Rhinolophus ferrumequinum: one gene and its partners. The main gene of each other region encodes a partner of the protein of the gene in region 3 in a complex. Links are inferred from orthologs where the notes say so. Each region holds a gene or a part of one and is shown on either strand. Other genes may lie near its edges.

The links.
Region 1: KANSL3 (region 3) and PHF20 share a complex: the UniProt entries of both Homo sapiens proteins name them as parts of the NSL complex. The link is inferred for Rhinolophus ferrumequinum from reciprocal best matches to the Homo sapiens genes KANSL3 and PHF20.
Region 2: KANSL3 (region 3) and KANSL2 share a complex: the UniProt entries of both Homo sapiens proteins name them as parts of the NSL complex. The link is inferred for Rhinolophus ferrumequinum from reciprocal best matches to the Homo sapiens genes KANSL3 and KANSL2.

Annotation. Positions count from the first base shown.
Region 1 is NC_046306.1:19,771,570-19,778,810, forward strand, and holds the start of PHF20 (PHD finger protein 20), read right to left. Parts: upstream 3,074-7,241; 5' UTR 2,948-3,073; intron 1-2,947. UniProt on the Homo sapiens protein: Methyllysine-binding protein, component of the MOF histone acetyltransferase protein complex.
Region 2 is NC_046293.1:49,833,310-49,840,372, forward strand, and holds the start of KANSL2 (KAT8 regulatory NSL complex subunit 2), read right to left. Parts: upstream 3,071-7,063; 5' UTR 2,989-3,070; intron 2,522-2,988; exon of another isoform or gene 2,435-2,521; 5' UTR 2,427-2,434; coding exon 2,176-2,426; intron 1,390-2,175; coding exon 1,211-1,389; intron 724-1,210; coding exon 609-723; intron 512-608; exon of another isoform or gene 385-511; coding exon of another isoform or gene 172-384; exon of another isoform or gene 130-171; intron 1-129. Other genes in the region: 40S ribosomal protein S29-like, read right to left, coding at 172-384. UniProt on the Homo sapiens protein: Non-catalytic component of the NSL histone acetyltransferase complex, a multiprotein complex that mediates histone H4 acetylation at 'Lys-5'- and 'Lys-8' (H4K5ac and H4K8ac) at transcription start sites and promotes transcription initiation.
Region 3 is NW_022680356.1:2,127,221-2,134,852, reverse strand, and holds the start of KANSL3 (KAT8 regulatory NSL complex subunit 3), read left to right. Parts: upstream 1-4,620; 5' UTR 4,621-4,701; intron 4,702-4,772; exon of another isoform or gene 4,773-5,082; intron 5,083-5,672; 5' UTR 5,673-5,722; coding exon 5,723-5,937; intron 5,938-7,632. UniProt on the Homo sapiens protein: Non-catalytic component of the NSL histone acetyltransferase complex, a multiprotein complex that mediates histone H4 acetylation at 'Lys-5'- and 'Lys-8' (H4K5ac and H4K8ac) at transcription start sites and promotes transcription initiation.

The DNA of each region.
Region 1 (7,241 bases), on a different chromosome or scaffold from region 3:
GAAATACCCCAGCATAAAGCTAACCAATCACCTATTTTCACAGAGAAATCTTTGGCTATTATGTATATATAGCATCTCACTACTCAGTGTATTTCAATAACATTAGCATCACCTGGGAATTATAAACGCAGATACTCAGGCCCCGCCCTAAACCTACTGGATCACAATCAGTATTTTAGCAAGACCCGCCCCTGCCCAAGTGATTTATACACACATTCAAGTTTGAGAAGCAGTGGCGTAGTTGAACACTGCACTGTACAGAGCAGTACACAGATAAGCACCAAACAGGCAGACAAAGTACCTGTTCACTTGCTGTATATCACAGTTTACGTACTGCTCAGACAGACCTCCAGTGTTTTTTCATGAATTTGGTACTTACTAATAATGACCAAATAATCTAAATGTGGAATCTATTTCACTTCCTGAAATAGCACAACCTAGCTCCAGGGCTTTCTTGAACATGAAATATAAAACAGCTTAGTTATTCTGAAAATACAATAATGGTTAATTTTATTCAAGTTCCAACACTCAGTTCAGAACACTTCTCCACAAGCCCCATTATTTCCTATAGGTTCCTGGGAGTCTCATTATATCCCCTAGCATCCCTATGAAGCAGGTGCTTGGCAAACGTCCAACCTCCAAATGACATTCAGAAGGATGTAATCCTAAAAATGCTGTATTTTCCTGCCTTGTCCTGCCAGTATAGCTTCGCAGGCCCAAACTCTCTCCTCCACTGAGGCCTCTTACAGCTGCACACTCAAGTACTTCCTAAAAAAGGAGAAAGGTCAGAGGTGTCATTATCCCATAAGCACTTGGGGTTTCAGCTGTGGAGAAATTAATCTGGTTAGGGGCTCAGGCAGAAAAGCCCTAAGTAAGATCTGGAAAGGCAGAGGAAAATACAAAAGAACCTACTGAGAGGCTCTTAAAGAGAGAAGAGGGCCCAGATACTTGTAGATTTTAAGGTGAGGGTTGGGAGCAAGGCTTGGCAGATATGTGTGAGGATGATAGGGAGAGTTAAGTCCATCCCCCACCTGCAACCCATGGACAAGAACAAAAAGACTAAGAGGTTCCTTCAAATGACCTCTTTTCTTGATAAAAGGAAAGAAGAAAAGCCAATAGAGAGAGGAAGTTTTATTAGCTGAAACCAAGACTAAAAGAATTTCTTGAGGGAAATAAAGCAAAGAAGAAAACAGTACTATCAAGGCAGAATGGTAAAGGAAGCAAATCACCAGGAGGATTAAGAGTCCTGTGAATAACCAAAGAAATGAGAGGGGATTCATTTCCAGTTTGAATTCAGTGCTTGGGGCATCAGGTAGTCCTGGACCTGAGGTCACCTCCAGCGCCAGGGGAAGAAAGGGGAAAATCTCTACAGCCTCCAGCAAGCAGAGCAGTGTCCAATGAGAGTTAGAAACCAAAAAAATGCCTGGGGATAGAGCAAGCCGAGAGAGAAGAGAGTTCCGGTTAGCAGAAATCAGAAAAAGGTAAAGTAGACATAGAAAAGGAAAACATACAGACACTCTTTTAGGAGGGGGACCCTCCCTTTAGGGGAAGGGAATTCGGGAGGTGTGACTGGGAATTGTGCTCAGAAAAAAAGGCCATAGAAGCAGGGAAAGTGTTGTGCTCAAGATACCCATTCATCAATAGAAGAGGAAATGGGTGCAATGACCAGATAGGAAAAGCACCTAAATGGAAATGGGAAGGAAAAAAGGGAAGGAAACTGAGGAAAGAAAATGTCTTGGAGGGCAGAAAAGCTCAAGAACCATGGACCAAGGTTTGGTAATGATCGGACTCAGAAAAAAGGTGTGCCCTCCCAGATTTAAGAAGCATCAGGAAAGTTACTGCTCCCTGAGAATGGTGTAACCAAGAGGGGTGCATTCTGTACATTTGGGGATACAAACACACTCTCAGACATTAAAATAAGTATCTCCCAGGAAATACGGTAGTTCGATTTGGGGAACTCATGAAAAAGGATGCAAATCCAAAAAGTGACTGGAAAGTGCAGCGAATTCCCTTATTTGTGTAATTGCAAATATGTACCCTTAAACTTCAGGATTTCGATTTTATTTTCAGTAACATCTGGAAACGAGGTGCACCCCAGATTTGCAGGGTTGGAGAAACGAAGTGTCCCCTAAATTTAAGAAATTCTGGAAAGCATGTTGCCATATTTGGGGCCTGGAAAAGGGATTTTTCCTTGGATTTGTGGAAACAGAAGTACCCCAAAACTTGGTTACTGGACTCCAGGTTTGAGAGAGTCGTTAATGCGGCGAACTTCCAAATTTGAAAGGGAGTGCTTGCTCAGATTGAAGGCTTGAAAAAGGAAGTGTCCTCCCAGTTTGGGGGGGGGGGTCTGGGAAAAGGGATACATCCTGTTCGAAGGGCTTTGGAAACTGAGCTGGAGCCTCAGAAAGGGGGTGCACCACCCACATTTCCAAAACTAGAGAAAGGGGACACTCCCATAGTCGGGGGTTAAGAAAGGGGTGTGCTTCCCAGAATAGGATAAAACAGTCAATTAAAAAAAAAAAAGCGTTCCCAAAGCACATGAAAACAGCAAGGGCTGGTGGTGGAGCTCTCGGGGGCCTCATAGTTCAAGCTGTGGCCCTAGCGCTTACCCCCCACCCCCAACACGGCCCGCTCCGCGCCCTGGGCCCGCACCCCGCGGCCCAGCCCCCTCAGGCGGCGCTGATTGGCCGCGGCCGCCGTCACTCCAGCGGGCAACCCTGGGGATTGGGCGCCGCTCGCACGACCGCCACGCTCTCAGCAGCGGTCCCCGGGCCTCCCTCCGCGCTGGGCGAGACGGGCCAAGCAGGGAGCGGGGCCGGGCAGGGGACCCGAGCAGCGGTGGTGTCCGTAACCGTCCCCGCCCGCACGGCGCGCGCCTGGCGCGGGTTCGCCCCGACCCGGCTTCGGCCACCCGGCTTAGCCTCGCCGCGCCTCACCGCGAGCTCACCTCACAGCCCGGCTCCGGCTGCGCCGCTCCAGGACCAACCGACAGAAGGACTCTGCGTGCTGCGCACCACGTGACCCTCGGGACGCGCCCAGCGTATCCCCCGCCCCCCACATACACGCACCATCGCCACCACCGAGTGACGCAGCTCCCCAGCTGCCCCGCCCTCGGCCCCGCCCAACCCGGTCACCGTGGCGACGGCTCAGGCGGGCCACGCCCACTGCCCTGACGCGCGGGAACCCGACCGGCGCCCTGATGCGGACGGAGCTCGAAGTCCTCACTCACCTGCAATCAGTGAGACCAAAGCAAACCTGGGACTGGACACTATCCATCGCCTGTTAATTTTGCCTCCTAAATGCCTGTCGAAACCTCCCACTTCTCTCCATCCCATTCCCAACTCCCGGGTCTAGGCCACCATCACCTCTCTCCTAGGTGACGGTTGTCCCCTCCAGCCTATTATTCTTCCCCCTTCCAATCCATTCTCCACACACAGACAGTAGGAGCTTTTCAAAAAGCAAATATAGTCACAGGCTTAAAGTCTTTTCCCCCCACTTTTCTTCGGATTAGGATCTAAACCTATCTACCAGGCTCTGGAAAGTCTGGACCTAACCTGCCTCTCCTCACATGCTAATACAACCAGCTTCCCCAGTTCTCAGCCTCTTTCAAATCCTCAAAGAAGCCAGGTACCTTCCCACCTCCGGGCCTTTGTACTAATCCCTCTTCCACTTTGTCTCATTATCTGCTGGGTAAGGATTCCAATTACTGGTGTGAAGAGCTGTATTTAGCCTCCAGAGACGGAGATGGGAGTTGCAGCCACCCCAGAAGGTTCTGAGATGTTTTCCCAATGAGACTTGGAAAGTCCCAAAGAGAAATGCTAACCATTTGTAATTTATGAGGGCAATAACTTTATTTTACATTGGAAAGACGACAGAGCAGCCAGATTGCACTTCTTTAAATGTAAATCTAATCATGTCATTGTCCTGCTTAAAACAATCTCTCCATCTGCATCCTCCACTCTTTTTCATCCTCTAGCCACACTGACTTTCTGTCAGTTGCTATGGCTCTTTCCAAGCTCTCTCCAGCTGCTGGGTCATTGAATAGGCTGTTCCATCTTGCAAAGCTGACTCTTCATCATGCAGGTCTGTTTGTCATCTCCTCAGTGAGATCCTCTTTGATTACATTATCTAGAAATGCTTCCCTCAATCACATGCATGCCTCCCCCATAGCAATTATTCTCTATCACTTCAATTTCAACAGAGCACCTAGCACAGTTTGTTATTATTTCATTTGTCTGTTCTCTTGGTTGTATTTGTCTACTTCCTGAATTTTAGTTAGGGACTATCTTGTACCTAATAAATTGTCAGAACCTGACGAATAATAGATGCTTCATGTGTATCTGTGAAAGGAATGAAAGAGAATAACATTGAAAAAAAAATTGGTAGATCCTTCTTTATGACCTGAGTCCATAGAAGAGGTGCTTTTCATATCAGGGCTGGAGACTGAAGAGGGCATTACCTCAGCTCAAGTAAAAACAGAGGACAGCTCTTCCCGAAAGCAGCCTGAGGTGACCTCTGAAAATGGTTCGCTATTCTCTTGACCCAGAGAACCCCACAAAATCATGTAAATCGAGAGGTTCAAATCTACGGGTTCATTTTAAGAACACTCGTGAAACTGCCCAGGCCATCAAGGGTATGAATATCTGAAAAGCTACCAAGTATTTAAAGGATGTCACGTTACAAAAGCAATGTGTGCCATTCCGTTGTTACAATGGTGGAGTTGGGAGGTGTGCCCAAGCCAAACAGTGGGGTTGGACACAGGGTCGTTGGCCCAAAAAGAGTGCAGAATTTTTACTGCACATGCTTAAAAATGCAGAGAGTAATACTGAACTTAAGGGTTTAGATGTAGACTCTCTGATCATTGAGCAGAGCCAGGTGAACAAAGCTCCCAAGATGCAGCGAGAACTTACAGAGCTCACGGGCGCATTAACCCACACATGAACTTCCCCCTGCCACATTGAGATGATCCTAACTGAAAAAGAACAAATTGTTCCTAAACCAGAAGTGGAGGTTGCTCAGAAGATCTCCCAGAAGAAACTGAAGAAACAAAAACTTATGGCCCGGGAGTAAATTCAACATCAAATAAATGCTAATAAAAGGAAAAAAAAAACAAAAAACAGAGGACAGTGCTTAGGAAGAGGTTTGGGGAAACCAGGGACAAAAGCTTCAGCTGTGCTCACTTCAGCAGCACATATACACAAATTAGAGAAGATTAGTGTTAGCCCCCAGGATAACATTCAAATTAGTGAAGTGTTCAGTATTCAAACAAACAAACGAACAAAAAAACCCACAAAATACCTTCAGGAATTTGAGGACCAGAACCACCTACATGAACTCAGCTAAGTGCTCAAATACAGGAAGAAAGGACCTTTGCAGAATCCTCTCAGTTTACATTTGTTAACGTGAAGTTGCTCAGATGTTAGTGGCTATTGTAGCATATACAGAATTTTTTGCCCCACAACCACAATAATGCCAAGAATCCCAGACTCCATAGTCCCATAAAAATATAACAATGTTTCTTCGTTTATTCGACCTGCATGTATTTAGACCCAAGGTTGAGGTGGGCACCAAAACAGAGAGCAGAATGACATTTAGGTCCTGTTCTCAGAGAGCTCACAGCCTGGTAAAGAAAGCGTCACAATTTGTAAGTTAAAAATTTTTTGTCTGTTGCAAGAACAACCAAAAGAGAAATATAAGGATATTGGGGGTCCAGAGCATCAACAAGAGGCCAGGCTTGGAAAGCAATCAGGTGCAATAACACCTCCAAAAAGAAGCAACACCTGATGTGGCCAGCAGCACCACACACCACAACTGGGATTCAATCCTAACATCCCCTTGTCTTTGAGTCACTCACTCAAGAGGCAAAGTCTTGTCCAAGAGCTGTTTTTGATTGGTCAATCTCTGATCACATGGATTAGACCACGCTGCTAAAGAAGAGAGGAACAATCTTCCCCAAAGGATATCCCTCCAAACGGGAAAAGGGGAGAATTGATGCTTGTTAGGCAAAACTAACTTGATACAGATATAAATAAAGTACGTTGGAAGTTAAGCTCTTTCTGATTAAAAAACCTGCAGAAACCTGGCTTGCTAGCTTCTTCTAAACTGGGCATTCACTGACTGCTAACCACAGATCTCCAGTTTGCAAAGTTCTGGTCTAAAGCCCAGGTCTTACCACTGCCTCCTTAGCAGCCTCCAACTTTCTGCCTTAAGAGCCTCCCCAGAATCTCAATAGCAGTTGGTCTCAACATCCCAATTCTTTCTTTGGTAGAGCCTTTCTTTGTACAGAATAGGAATTCAACTAACAGTTGTGATTGAGTGAATGACTGAAAGAATGAATGTGTAGCAGCCTCAACTCCAGAGAGTAGAATCTCTCTTGCTAAGTATCCAACAATTTCAGAACTGTGATCCCAGCCCATAAAAAGATTGCTCCCTGCATACACACAAGGTATACAGTAGCACAAGAAGCATTCAATACCTGCATGGAAGAGTGCTTTCCCTCTCTAAGCATCACTTTTCTTCAACTCTAAATTGGGTATCTACCTTCACAGCATTGTCACTTTTTTTTTTTTTTTAAAGGAGGGTGCAGCTCACAGTGGCCCATGCAGGGACTGAACCAGCAACCTTGGTGTTATCAGCACCAGGCTCTAACCATCTGAGCTAACCAATCACCCCCAGCATTGTCACATTTAAATTAAATAACATGTGAGAAAATGTATTGTAAACTGCAAAGTTCCGGGGAAATGATTTTCTGATTGCTTTCTTACTAGACTTGTCATCTAGAATATTCAAAATGTCCCCAGCTAAAGAGAAGCAGAACTAAAGATCTAACAGGAGATCGGATATTCAATTAGAAAAGTGATCTTTTCAGCTTCTACCCGGCAAACCTTTATACTCTGTCCTTATGTAACCCCAAGGCATTTACAATACTCAAGGGAAAAGAGGAAAACTAAAACAGAAAAGCAAGCCCCCACAGACCCTATGGACTCAGAGTATCATCAAGCTTCAGCATGTCCGTTTGCAAAGCAGGAACTAGAGTATGATATCTGCAGCGCCAAATTGAGTGTGAGAATTCAAAAAACCGGAAACCACAGTCACAACAGCGTCTGAGAGGTCCAAGAACCTCCACAAGGCACTAGGGGCCCACGGGAAGCGGGTTGAGTCTTGGCCCTGGCCTGAGGTCTTGCAGTCTGGGCCTCATGGAAAGTTCCTGAACTCCAAGCCTTAGTACTCTTCAAATGAGG
Region 2 (7,063 bases), on a different chromosome or scaffold from region 3:
CACCTCCACTCCTACGTCCAAGAAATTTCCTATTTTCTCCCCTATACTTTCTCAAGTGCATAAGTTATTTTTCCCCCCCATAATCAAAGCCTTTTTATTTTATGTACAAAGAGCTGACACTGTTTCTGCTATAAGGTAGTTAGCTTGCATGATTCACTCATGGAAGTTCACTTAGTCCAACTTAATGAAGCCTATATCCTTCGCGTACTGACGGAAACATTGGCGACACATATTGAGGCCGTATTTCCGGATCAGCCCGTGCCGGTTTGAGCAGACGTGGCAAGAACGAGAACCCTGGCCGAATTTTCTTGGATGGCTCCAGTAGAGCTGCTGGTGACCCATCTTGCTCCCTCGGGCGCAACGAGGTAAAAAGGTCAAGTGCATAATTTAACGTCCAAAAATTTTCTGAAATTAAAGACTTCTAAAAGAGAATCAAATCCTGCTTTGAAGCAAGAGTGATGAACCACGGCACTTTAGTTTACAGCTATTTTTGCTCACAAATAGCTATCTTCAACCCTCCTAGGTTATTAATCTACCAACAGTATGCAATACATTCCATATAGTAACTACATAAAATATTTAAAAGCTTATGTGGAGTTACAACTTACTTTAGGGGATCTTCTTGATCACTGTCTATGCTATCAGCTTCACTGTCAGGGTCACCTCTCCATGTCTGATCCACAGTAATGGGTTCCTGCTCCCCATCACTCCAGCTGTCTTCATCTAAGGCAAGGAAGGGAGAGTAGCCATTAAGACTTCCCATTTCTGTAACTCCACCACACAAAACTATATTACTTAACATATCAAACCAAATTAAAATAACGTAGTATAAAGATACTGGCAAATAAAAATGGCTTAAAAAAATACAACCCAGGTAAGATTACTTTTAACATAAATGAATCAACCATGCCTTCAAAAGGTCAGAAAGTCCAACTCAAAATTATTTTTGGTTCCTGAAATTACCTTACCTAGCAAAGATGAAAAATATATAAACAGCAATGAAGAAAACAGTCATAAACTCAGGAAAGTAAATCTAAGCACACACTACTTAAAACTGAAAAGAATTCGTGAACAACATAGCAATCCTGGAATGAATTAACGATGATATTGTATTATCAAGTGCCATATATGTTCAAGGCACTGTGCTCAACCAAAATAAATTCTGTTAACTTTCTCCCTCCTTTTTCATTCTAGGGGAGAAGATCCTTACCCAGAATTCGGCTGGCTTCACTGCGACTACTTTCTGGAGTCTGAGACCCCAGCTCTGTCTTAGCATATGAGCTCAGCTGGCACAAGAGTGTTTCACCCACAGGGCCTGGACCAGTCTTCTTCATTTGAGCATGAAGTGCCAGGGCATTCCTACGGGCGTGTTCAGCACAGAAGGACACCCTAAGGAGACAAAATATTAACACTGTATACTCAGGTTCCTTCTTGAAAGAATTCAGTGCTTTCCATAGTTGCAGATCTTTAGATCATTTTTAGGAAATTAAAATAATCATTATCTTCATTTATACATTAAAAAGGCCAGTGAGGCAGAGTAATTTCACTGGCCCATGGTCAGCTCATTTAGTATTACTAAAGAGAAATGCAGGTGGCATAATCTAGTACACTATCCATCAAACAAAACATTCCCACTATAAAAATGCTGACATCATTTCACAAGAAATCTGATCCACTTTTGTCTTTCAAAACTGATTTTGGAAGGCAATTCTACATTTTACTTCAGTATTAATACACTAGTTAATAAGATGTGGAACACAATTTTAAAACCAAAAGGTGTATGCAGAATTATCTATCAAAATTATGCTTCTGCATGGATATTTTTGCTTACATAATGAAAGCTACGAAGCCTTTCCCAGAAAAATACACATAAATACAATTTTGCGTATTATTTAACAAGGTTCAGGCCCAGCCAAAAGAGTCATGGATCCCAGGATTAAGAATAACCCTTTATTTTACAGATAAGTGAAAAGATCCAACGAGATGAACTGAGTGGCCCAACTGTAAGTGGTCTCCTTCCGGTCTCCACCTTTTTATTTGCCAACGATATAGTCATAAACCCAATTTAACAAGCACGTGAGCTAAAAACTCGGTAGCTGTGCCCATACCCACATCATACTCCATCCAGCTCTCACTTTAAAAGTACAAACAACAAAATTATCTACATATATTTACCCATCTTTCTTCTCCGGCTTTGGGGCAGCACTGGGACATCTTTTCCCATTCTTCGTCGATATATAACTACACTGCTTGAAGGGTGCATTCTTATCTTCAAGAATATGTTTAATGCAAAATTCCTGCCCGTCCAGACGAGGTTGCGAGCATGGGCGATGAGTAAATGAACAAGAGAGGGGCTCCTGAGACCTGGGCACTGGGGTAATCCTCCCCCGATTGGTCGGCAAGACGTGGATCCGAATCCTGTTCATACCAAAACCTGCAGGATCACACACAAGACCAAAAAAGCCCTTACCCTTTCCAAAAATTCATCCTCCACAATATGCGGGCAGCCCGCGGGTAGTTTCTAAAAAACAGAAGTAATGCTCCGTAACTACCCTCAGCCAGGTCTCCCCAGGCATTAGTGAATTTTCCTCCCCTCCACTTCTCCCTCCACGCCCGCACCCACCCCGACAACCACCACGTTAAAAGTATCTCAGGGACTCGCACAGCCCGCAGCTCTAGCGGGAAGCACCAGCGCCCGCCCCACGCGGAGGCAGCAGCGCCGCAGGGCCCCGCCTCCGCCTCCCAGTACACGGCCTTTGTCCCGGCCCGCCTCAAAGCTTAGGGCTGAGCCCTGCCTGTCCTCGGCTGCCCGTACAAGCGCCATTTTGTCCTAAGACTCCGGGCACCGGAGAATCTGGGTCTTGGGAGCCTATAGGAGGAAAGCAACCCCGATGCTAATCGAAGCAGAGGAGCAGCTCGGAAGGGGCAAAAGGGACGAAACAGCAGCCTAACTGCAAAAATGAAGAGCAAGCACCGCCGCCATCTTACCTTCGCGGCCACTCCGCACCACTCTGGCCGCGTCACCCGCTTCTAACTCGGCCCCGCTCCTTTCCGGGCTCCCAACCGCTGATTGGCTACCGCGCCTACGGCGGTGTGCCACCATTGGCCGAAGCCTGCTACCTATCAGGTTGGGGAGGGCGGGATTATGAGAAATGTGAGGCTGGGGTAGGCGAGACGACATGTCTGTCAGCAACTAGGGGAGAGTGAGGCGGAGCCAGCGCGGGCGGCGGGATTCCCTCGCGGCTGCTGCCGTATTTCCAACTCAGCGTCAGCGCGTCTGGTTTTCAGGCCTCTTTTGGGGTACTCTGTGGTCTTTGGCTGCTGCTACTTCAGCACCCCTATACAACCGGTAAAAAAAAAAAAAATCACACATCTGACTCTTACTGTTTATACAGGAAAAGCCCTTAGTTTTCTTTTGTGAGCAATTCATTTACTGAAACATTTTCTGAGTGTTTAAATCTGGGAAATTACATATATAAACATTTAATTTTCAGAGCAACCCTAACAGGTGGAGGCTATTATCTCTATAACCACGTTAAGATAACTGAGGAACAGAATGGGCCCATATCTAGTATATGGGGAGACAGGCAAACTTGAACCCAGCCCTCATTTTGTATCCCTTTTTGTCTCTCATATAGTAAAAAGAGGATTGGACTGGAAATAAGGAAATACGAGTTGTGGTTTAGGCTATGATTCTCTAAAATTCTCTACAATTCCATGCTAAATAATGCAGGTATATAAAAATGGCACACAATCCCAATTCTTTCCTTTAAGGATTTTTTTTTAAGTTTAAAGTATCTCTTTTTTTCATTTCCACCAGTTCTCTTGTAGAAATGAACCAACACTTTCTCCCCATAACCCTCTGGATCTTTTTTGCGTCCCAACCTGCCCAAGAACCCTTATCTGCTGTCAGTTTCATTTACGTAAGAGATTTCTCCATTATCAATGAGGTGAGCATGATTCACAGTGGAGGTGAGCATAGAGAATCCACACACACTCAAGAACAGCCCTCAGTTTAGGCACAAGGAATGATTAAAACAAAAACTGGAGGAGGGGGAGACAGGTGAGATGCTGTTCCCAGAAATTAGGGTAGCCCTAGAAGGCCCTCTCCGAAAATCTATTCATTCAACAAATATTTATTGAGCACATACATTAAGTGCCAGACACTGGGGATACAGAGAGAACAAGAAAGATAACCTGCTCTTTTAGAGTAAACATTCTAGAGCAGTTTGGGATTATGGATGCAATACAAACCTAATAGCAACTATGACTTACATACATAAGCAAATGGCAGGCACAATCCCAATTTTGTCCTTTAAGGATTTTTAAGGATTTAATAATTTACCCAATTAGCCTAGGGTAAAATTGGTCTCCTTATACAAAGAAGGCATTTGTTATAAATACCCCATAACTCAAAACTGTTTTATGAGGCAGTCACATTACAGAAAATCTGGGAATCAGAATCTGCAACCAATTATGGTAATATCAAAAAGGAATATTAAAACTACTATAGGAAATAATGTAAAGAGGCATTAAGGACTAGATAGGGATGTAACAAAGACTTTCCAAGACTTGTTTAATTAGAGAGTCTACTGAAGATCTTAATTGAAACCACGATCCTCCTGCTAAGCCCAAAGGAGACAAAAAATTGCTATTTAGAACCCCTTCCTTCTAAACTGGGGAAGAGGCAGATATTACTAAAGGGTCAAGATATTGGCAAATTCTTTGTGCTGTTTAACAAAGTAGATGTCTGTTTTTAATCCACTGAACGAACACTTTGCTAGCTATGGACAGTTTAAAGTGGACCCGAGGGTGTTTGCAAATAGAGGTTGGGAAAAGTGAATTCTTGAAGGAAAGGGAATTTTTTAAAATTTTGAGTTTTGGGGGCTAATCCTAGAGAAAGGTGAGAGATTGAGAATAATGAATGCCAAACTCCTGCTCCTTCTGCAGTCCTCCTCATCTCAATATAACTCCATCCTTCCAGTTAGTCAGGCCAAATACTGGGAGTCATCCTTCACTTTTTTCTTCCAACCTTATAGCAGCTCCTACTGGCTCCAACTTCAATATACTGTGTTTCCCCGAAAATAAGACCTAGCCGGACAATCAGCTCTAATGCGTCTTTTGGAGCAAAAATTACTATTATATAAAACCGAGTCTTATAGTAAAATGAGACTGGGTCTTAATTTTTGCTCCAAAAGACGCATTAGAGCTGATTGTCCGGCTAGGTCTTATTTTCGGGGAAACACGGTAGGTAACTTTTCATTACCTTCAGCACCTCCAACCTGTTCCAAGCCACTCTTATCTCTCACCTTTATTATTGTGAGTCTCCTTACCCTTGACCCCTACAATCCATTTTCAACACAGAAGCCCAAATAAACATTTTAAAACGTAGGCTAGATTATGTCACTTTTCTGCTCAAAAGTTTTCAGTGGTGCTCCATTTCACTGTCTTTATAATGGTTTACAAGACCTTAGTGTATCTAGACTTTTATTGCCCCGCTAACCACATATCCTACTACTCTCCCTCCTCACTAGCTACACTGGCCTTTTTCCTACGTTCTTACCTCAGAACCTTTGCACTTGTTTCCTGGAATGATCTTACCCCAACTATTCCCATGGCTTGCTCTCTCACCTTTTTCAGGTCTTTGCTGAACTGTAATTTCATGAGACCTTCCTCTTTTGCTGTCTTATTTCCAATTTCAACAATCCTACTTACCTGCACACACATACAAACTCCCTATCCCTCTTTCCCTGCTTTACATTCTCCAAAGTATTTATTATCTAACATACTGTTTTGTCTCCGCTGCAACTAAATGTAAGTTCGACGAGGGCAGGATGCTTGTTTATGCCATATTCCCATCAGTAATCAGTACATAGTATTTGGTACTATTTTCTGGTGCAGGAATAAATGAAAAGCAGGGCAGTGCCTGAAACTATTTTAGAAAAGGTGTATCTAGTGCAGCATGTTCTCTATCGATTTCCTTTTGTTCAGCATCATTTTGCTATAACGTTGAGAAAAAAGAATCGCTTCCCGGCTGTGGCCACTGTGTAGTTTGCATGTTCTCTCCAGGTTTGCGTGGGTTTCCTCCTGGACTACAGCTTCCTTCCACATCCTAAAGATGTGCAGGGAGGTGAATTGGCTTGTCTAAATTGTCCCAGTCTGAGTTGAGTGTGGGTGTATGAGATGCATCCTACAATAGAGAGGGGCATTCTGTCCAGGGTGGGTTGGAAAAGCAAAAGGTTGGAAAATTATCTTACTTTTTAAAATTAATCTTTCTTAAATGTATGCATAATAGGTCACAAGTATTTCAATGTTTAATATTAGAAGTGTTTGGGGTCCTTATTATAAGTTTGATTTTTTTTTTAATCAGAAATATGCCACAGGAACTTACCTCTTCAATTAGCCTACGGTAAAATTAGTCTCCTTATCTGTCACTTCACTTAAAGTCAGTTTCCAAGAACCTACTGATGATGTTATTTAAGTTTCAAGTGTACAATTAAATAATACATCTTCTGTGTATTGCACTGTGTGTTCACCACCCAAAGTCGAATCTTCCGTCACCATATATTTGATGGAGTATTTGAGCATAAAAATTCTTTCCCTTTAAATGTGTAATTTACAAGATTGGCTGTGTGCATAATTTTATTATGTCCCAGGAAAAGGGTAAGTATTCACTATTTTTCCAGGCACCAACAAGAATGCTATTCATTTTTTCCTTCCCAATGCACTCCTAGTCTATACCAACATTTTGGATTTTTCAAAGAAACCAACTATACAGTCATGAATCATGTTAACAGTGCTTGCTAGATAAGCAGTACATTTTGCTATCATCTGTTCAGCTATGTATTTTTTGTGTACCAGTTACTCTTCCACATATCTATGCAACAATGTTCAATGAGGGTTCCTCCCCGGCCCCCAACTACATCATGCTTTATATTATCAGGTGCAATGTGATGACCAAATCTTAGGTCTTTCCAATGGTCTCAATTCCCCCAGGATCTTGTGCAGTAAGAAAATACATACTCCTATCAAAACTAAAACAAAACTATAATCATATCAATAA
Region 3 (7,632 bases):
TTCTACCAGCTCCTCTGGTGAGAGGAGAAAGCTGCACCTCCAGTCCTTGCCCTGAAGCCAGACAACTCCGTTCCTCCCCTATGTCCCTGGCACCTTTCGATCTTCTGCCCCAGTGCTGGAGCTCAAAATGAGTGGGTCTGACAGCAAGTCAGTCTATGCACGGGCCCTTTAAGAGAAATGCCTGGGACTCCAGCTGCCCTCCGCTCCACTTGGCCACCATCCCCACTGGATTTCACAGCCAGAGGTTGTAGGTACTCCTCTCCCCGGCACTGGAACCCTAGGCTGGGGAGTTTGGTGTGGTGCTAGGACCCCTCACTCCTCCGGGATGGGGGCCCTCTGCAGCCGAGCTATCCCTCCCAATTTTAAATGGTCACATACGGGTGTGGGACCAGCCAATTCCGCATCTCTGCTCCTTCTACTAGTCTCAAGGTGGCTTCTTCTGTATGTCCTTGGTTGCGGGGCTTCGGTTCAGCTAGACTTCAGGCGATTCTTAATAATGGTTGTTCTGCAGTTTAGTTGTAATTTTGATATGGTTGTGAGAGGAGGTAAGCACAGTGTTTACCTACTCTGCCATCTTGACCAGATCTCCCAGAAACTAGCTTTTTAATTAATGAGCTCCTATGTTGGCTAGTGCCATTGGAATTTTGCTGTGGCATCCTAACTGCACTCAAGGACTCTGGGCATGAGGACGGAGCTGAGTTATTGACTCTTGGCATCCACATGAAGGCTTTTTCTGCTTTAGGGTTGAACATCGTATAAGTTACATCTTATCCAATGATTAACGTGAAAATTAATGAATGTTTAAAAAAATGTATATTAGTTGATGAAACCGTTTGAGTGTTTGCAGATCTGTACATGTCTTTATTCTGCCCTTGCACTTGACTGACAACCTGGTTGGATGTGTCAATCAGGATGGGCTCTGTTATGCTGAGGTAACAAACAAATCAAAAATCTCAGTGGCTTGAAACAGTAAACATTTTCTCCCCTTTTCTCTGCCTCCCCCCCTCCAGTTCAAGCCCTTGTTTCTCAGTCTAGTTGTGTAAGACACAGCTCCCTGGCCATGCTGGTATTATGAGTCTTGCGCTCCACCCCCTCTCCCCCTCCCCGGTTGTTTGTCTGTGGACCCGGCCACTCACAGCAGCCGGCCACTCACGCTGGCCAGCACACCATAGCCCACGGCAGCACTCAGCAGCCTGCGGCAGCTCACACCAACCTCTGGCTGCTCACGGCAGCCCAGCTCCAGGGAGAACTGTGTTCACAATCTTAGCTGTAGAGAGCACAGCTCACTGGCCCATGTGGGAATCAAACTCATGACGTTGGTGTTAGGAGCACAGCACTCCAACTACCTGAGCCACCAGGCCGCCCCCGCTTTTTTTTTTTTTAATAACAGCTTTGCTGAGATATAATTTACATGTCATAACTGTATAATTCAGGTTTTTAATATAGTCACCAGGTTATACAATTATTATCACCACTATCTAATTCCAGAACATTTCCTCACTGTGAAAAGAAACTCCCTACCTGTTAATATTCACTTCTCTTTTCCCCCTTCTCATAGGCCCTGAAAACCATGAATCCAGTTTTTGTCTGCATAGATTTGCTGATTCTAGACATTTCTTATAAATGGAATCACACAATAGGTGGCCTTTCGTAACTGCCTTCCCCTCCCCTTTCTCCTCCTTCTCATCCTCCTCCTCCTCATCTCCTCTTCCTCCTCCTCCTCCTTGAGTTTATTTGAGTTTATTTGAACCAAAGAGTTTATTTGAACCAAACTGATAACAATTGCTGGGGAGCAAAATCTCAAATGCTCCTATGATGGCTTCTTTTACTGAGCATGTTTTCGAGGTTCATCCATGTTGTGACAAGTATCAGCATTTCATTCCTTTTTACGGCTTAATAAATCCATTATATGAATATACCATATTTTGTTTATCCATTCATCAGTTGATGGAAATTTAGGTTGACACTATTCGGTATTATGAATGATGCTGCTTTGAACATTTGTATACTTGTTTTTATGTAAACATACGTTTTCAGTTCTCTTGCATATGTATGTAGAATGGCTGGGTCGTATGGTAATTCTGTGCTTAACTTTTTGAGGAACTAGCAGACTATTTTCCACAGTGGCTGCCCCATTTTATAATCCAGCCAGCAACAGATGAGTATTTTTATTTCTCCACATGATTTCCAACACTTTTTATCATGTTTTTTGTTGTCACCATTGATTTTTTAGCCATTCTAGAGGTTGTGAGGTGGTAAAGATGTATTTTTCATCTTCAACTGTGTCTCTTGTTCTGGTGTCAACCAACCAATCAATCATCAATCAGTCAACACAGAAACCATTCCTTAAGTCCTGGGATATGTTCTCTGAAGGATACAAACTAGGTCAATGTTCCTGACTTTGAGGATTTATGCTTTTTTTTTACAAAACACAGAGGAAAATTAACACTAAGCAGTCTAAAGCCAGTACCAAAAATCTTACTGGGGTCTCTAGGTCCCTGCAGGCTCTGGTCTATGTCTGTCTCTCCACTCCCTGACAATTGCTTCCTAGAAAACATTGTCCACGTTTTTTTGTTTTGTTTTGTTTTAACGTTATCAAGCTGCTTTCTGCCTCAGAGCCTTTGTCTTTGCTGTTGCTTCTCCCAGAGAGCTTCTCTCCCAGCTTCTACCCATGTTACCTCATTCCCCTGTTGGTTCAATGTCACTTTCACAGGGACACCTTCCCCATCACCCAAACCAAGACTGGGTCACTGTTCTCATCACCTTGCACTTTTTCTTATTGTGGTAGGCATGGTGGGAAGCAGAGTTGCGAGAGGTTAATGCCTAGGTTCTGGAGCCCCACTGCCTGGGTCCCAGTTCTGCCTTTGGTACTGACTGTGTAACCTTGGGCAAGGTACTTTATCTCTCTGGACGTGACTATAATAGAACCTCGCTGACAAACTCATTGAGAGGGTTAAATGAGCTAAGTCATTTACGTCACTTAGAATTTCTTTGGCATTCTCTAAATACTAGCCCTTGTTATCACAATTATGAATTAAACAATCATTTACGTAGATTAAAAAGAAATATGCCTTGTCAATGCTGTATCCTCAGCACGTAACACATTACTTATCACAGACTGGAATTTAAGAAGTATTTGTGAGTGAATGAAGGCCAAATGTATCCTACAGGATATCAGAGGAAGGAGGAATGCTATAGGAAGAGAGGGCCATCTCTAATCCACTGATAGTGAATACTTGGATTCCTGGGCAGAGAAAATGATTTTAAAGCTGCATCTGCGTTCACAGAGAGTGGACTGTTATTAACTAATCATGTCTGCTATGGGCACAGAAAAAGAAACAAAAACACCCACAGGACAAGCACTACGGTGTTGACAGCCCTGCTATAGAGAGGCTCTCTGTCATGTTGGAAACAGTCCAGAATTGTGAAGTGACAATTTGCCTCCTTTCCTCCACTGCCTGCCCCCAACCTCCACCTTTCCTCTGGACACTCAGGACTCCCTGTGGCATTGTACAGGCTGTCTGGAGCACTGTGACTCTTCCCACTATATCCACTGCCATTACAAGTCAGCAGTTTCACTCCTGCCATGGTAGGGCAACCAAAATGAACCAATCCCCTAATCACCCTAAACTGACTGGACTTGACCTCTGATTGTGTTTTCCTTCCCAGGGATATCTGCATTTAAATCTAGCCTGGGGGTGGTGTGTGAGTGTGTGTGTGTGTGTGTGTGTGTGTGTGTGGTTGAGTTTTGAATCAAATGCCCCAGAGCCCACTGCTGAGTGAAGCTGATGCAGACCCCTTGCCTACCCCACTGGAAGGTGGGTCCAGTGATGCCACAGCCACCAATTTTTCAAGAGAATCCAGAAATCTGGATGTTTACGTGAAATCTCCCAAGTATAAAGTTTGCAATGGAATAAAATTTTAAGAAAGTAATGTGAAGGAAAAAGAAAATGGTTTGGGGGCTGTATTTGGCCTATTGCTATCTCTGCAGGGGCCCTCACCAACCTTTCCAGTCCTCCTGCAATGGCCTGGTCCTTCAGAAACCAGCCTCTGGTGACTTCCCCTTCACAACACCACCCCAACCCCTTGTAGGAAATCTTTCTTCTTCTAGAACACTCTGGGGTTCCTCGTGGTAACTACCATCTTGAAATCTATTTGTGTTCTTGTCAGGTACCATGTATTATCCCATTTCAGCAAAACTTGGGAAAGTTCTGGATGTTTTATTTATTTTTAACAGACTTTAGTTTTTCTAGAGCAGGTTTAGGCTCACAGAAACTTTTTACTTTTACTTTTATTTATATGGTGCTTGTTTCTTAAGAGTAAATTCTTCAGGAGCCTATTTGGGGGGGCCTGGTCTGGGAGATGGAGGGCGAAGGAACAGCAGGGTGTGGGCAGCAGGCCCGGGCTGCAGAAGCCACTCTCCTCCATGGCCCTCGCTTTCCCGCTGAAAATGCAGGAGGTGGGACCCCGGCCTCGGCGCAGACTTTTTGCCTCCCATGCCCTTGCTTTCCCGACTCTCCCCTTCCCGCCTTAGTGGCGCAGCAGTATCTATTCCGGGTTTTCCCGCTCCCCGCCCCTCCCTTCCCAGGCTATGATCCGCTTCCGCGTTTTGCTGGGCACCCGGTCGCTAGGCGTGGGGGCGGTGACGCGCACGCGCGCAGAGAGTCGGCCCGGGCCGAACGCGCGGCCCGCGGATTGCGGGTGAGGGAGGGTCGACCTGGCGGGTGGCGGGCCCTAGGGGTCGCGGCCCCGGGCGGAGCGGGCGGGGGACTCGTCGAGGGCCTCGGGGTTCCCGGGCATGCGAGGATCAGGGGCTGGAACCAAGGCCGGGGCGGCCAGGCGTGTTGGGCCGGGGGCCGCGGGCGCCGAACCGGGCCAGGCCCGGCGGGTGCGAGGCCGCGCTTCGTCACGAACTCTGGGTGACCTTGGCCAAATCACTTAATTCTCCTGAGCCGGTGCCTTCGTCTGCGAAATGCGAACGATAAACCCCGCCTATTGGATGGGGCCGTTTGGAGATTCAGCGGCGAGACCCCCAGGAGAGGCCCGAGTCCCGGGCGGTTTGCGGGGCACCGCCCACCCCGGGTGAGGGCGAGGCCCTCCTGGGATGGCATTTTGTTACCGGCTTCCGGGAGGAGCCCTCGTGTGTGTTTTTTAAAACGCCAGAGTATTATGAAGTCGTTGCAAAACTTTTAACCAAAACGAGAGACTTGTGGAGCTTCCTTCCACGAGGCCCACGTTGCCCACCTGGTACTGCGACGCCCGGGAGGCTTGAGGGAGTGCTGAGAAGCATTAGCGACCCTTAGCTTGGGAAGAACTAATACCTGGCGTTCCTGTTGTTTGCCAAGACCCTTCTGGCCCACACAGGAAACGGAGGCGCTGGCCGAGCTAGTTTAGTATCTGCCCACGGGAGGCCTTTGGGACCCGTGGAGTCACTCGGCTTTCCAGGGAACGCGTTTTGTAGCGATTGAATATGGAGGAACGCTTGGTGCCCTAGCCTTTTTGGGGAGGTGGTGTGGGATCTCAGGAGCCCTCCCCATGGTGGATGAGGGTCTGCGGTGTGATAAATACTCAATTATGAATGATAGAGGGGTCACAAAAGTAAGAAGCATAAGAGATGCTCCAGGTTGGAAGACATTGAGACTATTTGAATTGACTGAACTTTTCCACTTCAGGCAACTAGCACACAGACACCGGGTCTCTGACTTGCTACCTCTCTACTGACATGGCCCACCGGGGTGCGGAGAGAGACTTCCAGACGTCAGCACGGCGCATGGGCACCTCACTGCTCTTCCAGCTTTCAGTGCATGAGCGAGAGCTGGACCTGGTTTTTCTGGATCATAGCTATGCCAAGCCATGGAGTGCCCACCCAGATGCCAGTAGTGCTCGGCCCACCCGCACGCTCTTTGTTACTCCCCGGAGGCAGCACGAAAGTACCATGTGAGTTTGGGCTCCTCTCCTAAGGGCTGCCATTGCCCTAACTAGGCAGTGATCAGATGGTGGGGATTCGAGAGGATTTTACTGTGGGAGACTGTGTGAGGGGCTTGGATGTTTAATTCAGGCATCTCTGGTAAGCAGCGGGAGGATATCAAGCCTATATGTGGACATCAACATTCAAGACATCTAACGATTTAGGAAAGCAAGATGTTCAAAGGAAAGCAAACAACCTGTTCCACTTAGGTAATAGGACTTGTTTGGAAAGAGGAAATTGAAGAGGATTATTTAACTGGTGAAGAAAAAGACTGAAGAGTTGACTTTTAAAAACTGCCATCCAGGATTAGACTCATTTCTTAGTCCAGTGTTCTGGCTTGCTCCAACTCTGGCAACAGTAACCTTTTTCTGGTAATGTGGTTTCTTTTCCTGGTTTCACCTACACAGTTTAGGAGCATATTCCCAAGACCTTGCTTTCTGCCTTAGCTTGTTACAGAACTGTCACTCAAGGGTGAGCTTACCTCTTAGGTCTCATTGTATTTTCAGCCGGCCTACATTATAGGGTAAGGAATTTTTTTCATAAATTTGGTATGTAAAAGGTGATACGATTACATTTGGCCTAAATAAACTTGTTTAGCAATTCTTTTGAGCTTTAAGGTGTTCTGATTACTTGTATTTCAAGATTTGTTGATATAGTCTATTTCGATGATCAAATCACGCCCTTCATTATTTTATAAACTGTTTTGGGGAAGAGGTTTTTTTTGTTTGTTTGTTGTAATCTGACCTAATGTTTAATCTTTCCTTTAGCACAGGTTTTAGGTTTGTTGGGGAATATCTAGTTTGTATTTTGCTTCTTTAGGTCCCCTACTCAGCTGTAATGAGCTTGGGATGCCATGATGTGTGTTTTAAACACGTGCAGAATAGTGGTTTTTATTTCATTTCCCAATGAGGGCAGCATTTAGTTGGCTGTTAGGTTGTGCAGGGCACGGGATCTGTGATTTTTAGGAAATAATCTAATCCTTCCGCCTGTGGCCCAGGGCATAACTGGTGAGCTCCTTTAAACAGAATCAGAAATCTTTTTCTCTTAGTTATGTAATACTTCTTGTTACATGAAACTCCTGTGTTTAAAGTGAGATTTTTGTGGACTTGGTTATTTCAGTACTTAGAAAATTATTTATAAACCGTCTCCGTAAATAGGCCTTGAAAGTGGAAGTTTGGCATGTTCCAGGAACTCTTTTTAGGTTGTTGTGTCTGGAATATGGTTGCAGCTGGGGTGTAAGTGGGAGCTGGGGGAGAGGTTGGCAAGGCTACCTCATGTAGGAATTTGATTCGAGGAGTGGTAAGAAGTCATTGAAGGGTTTTAGGCTGGAGATTGGATTTATATTTTTTAAAGATCACTGAACTTTTGTTGAAGAGATTATAGTGCAGGAGTGAAACAGAGAAGACCTGCTAGGAGGCCATTGCAGTAATGATGGCCAGAAACCACGATGGCTTGGATAGGGGTGGCAATAGCACAGACGGAGAAAAATGGGTGGCCTTGAGGTACATTTCATAGGTAGAATCATCAACTGGACCTGCTGTGGTGAATTGCAAAGAGGGGCCAGCATTATGGGGCAAGGGGAAATTAGGGTGACTCTTAGGTTTCTGGCTTGAGCAGCTAGATGGTGCCATGACTTGGGGAAGACTTGGGGAGGACAGGTCGGA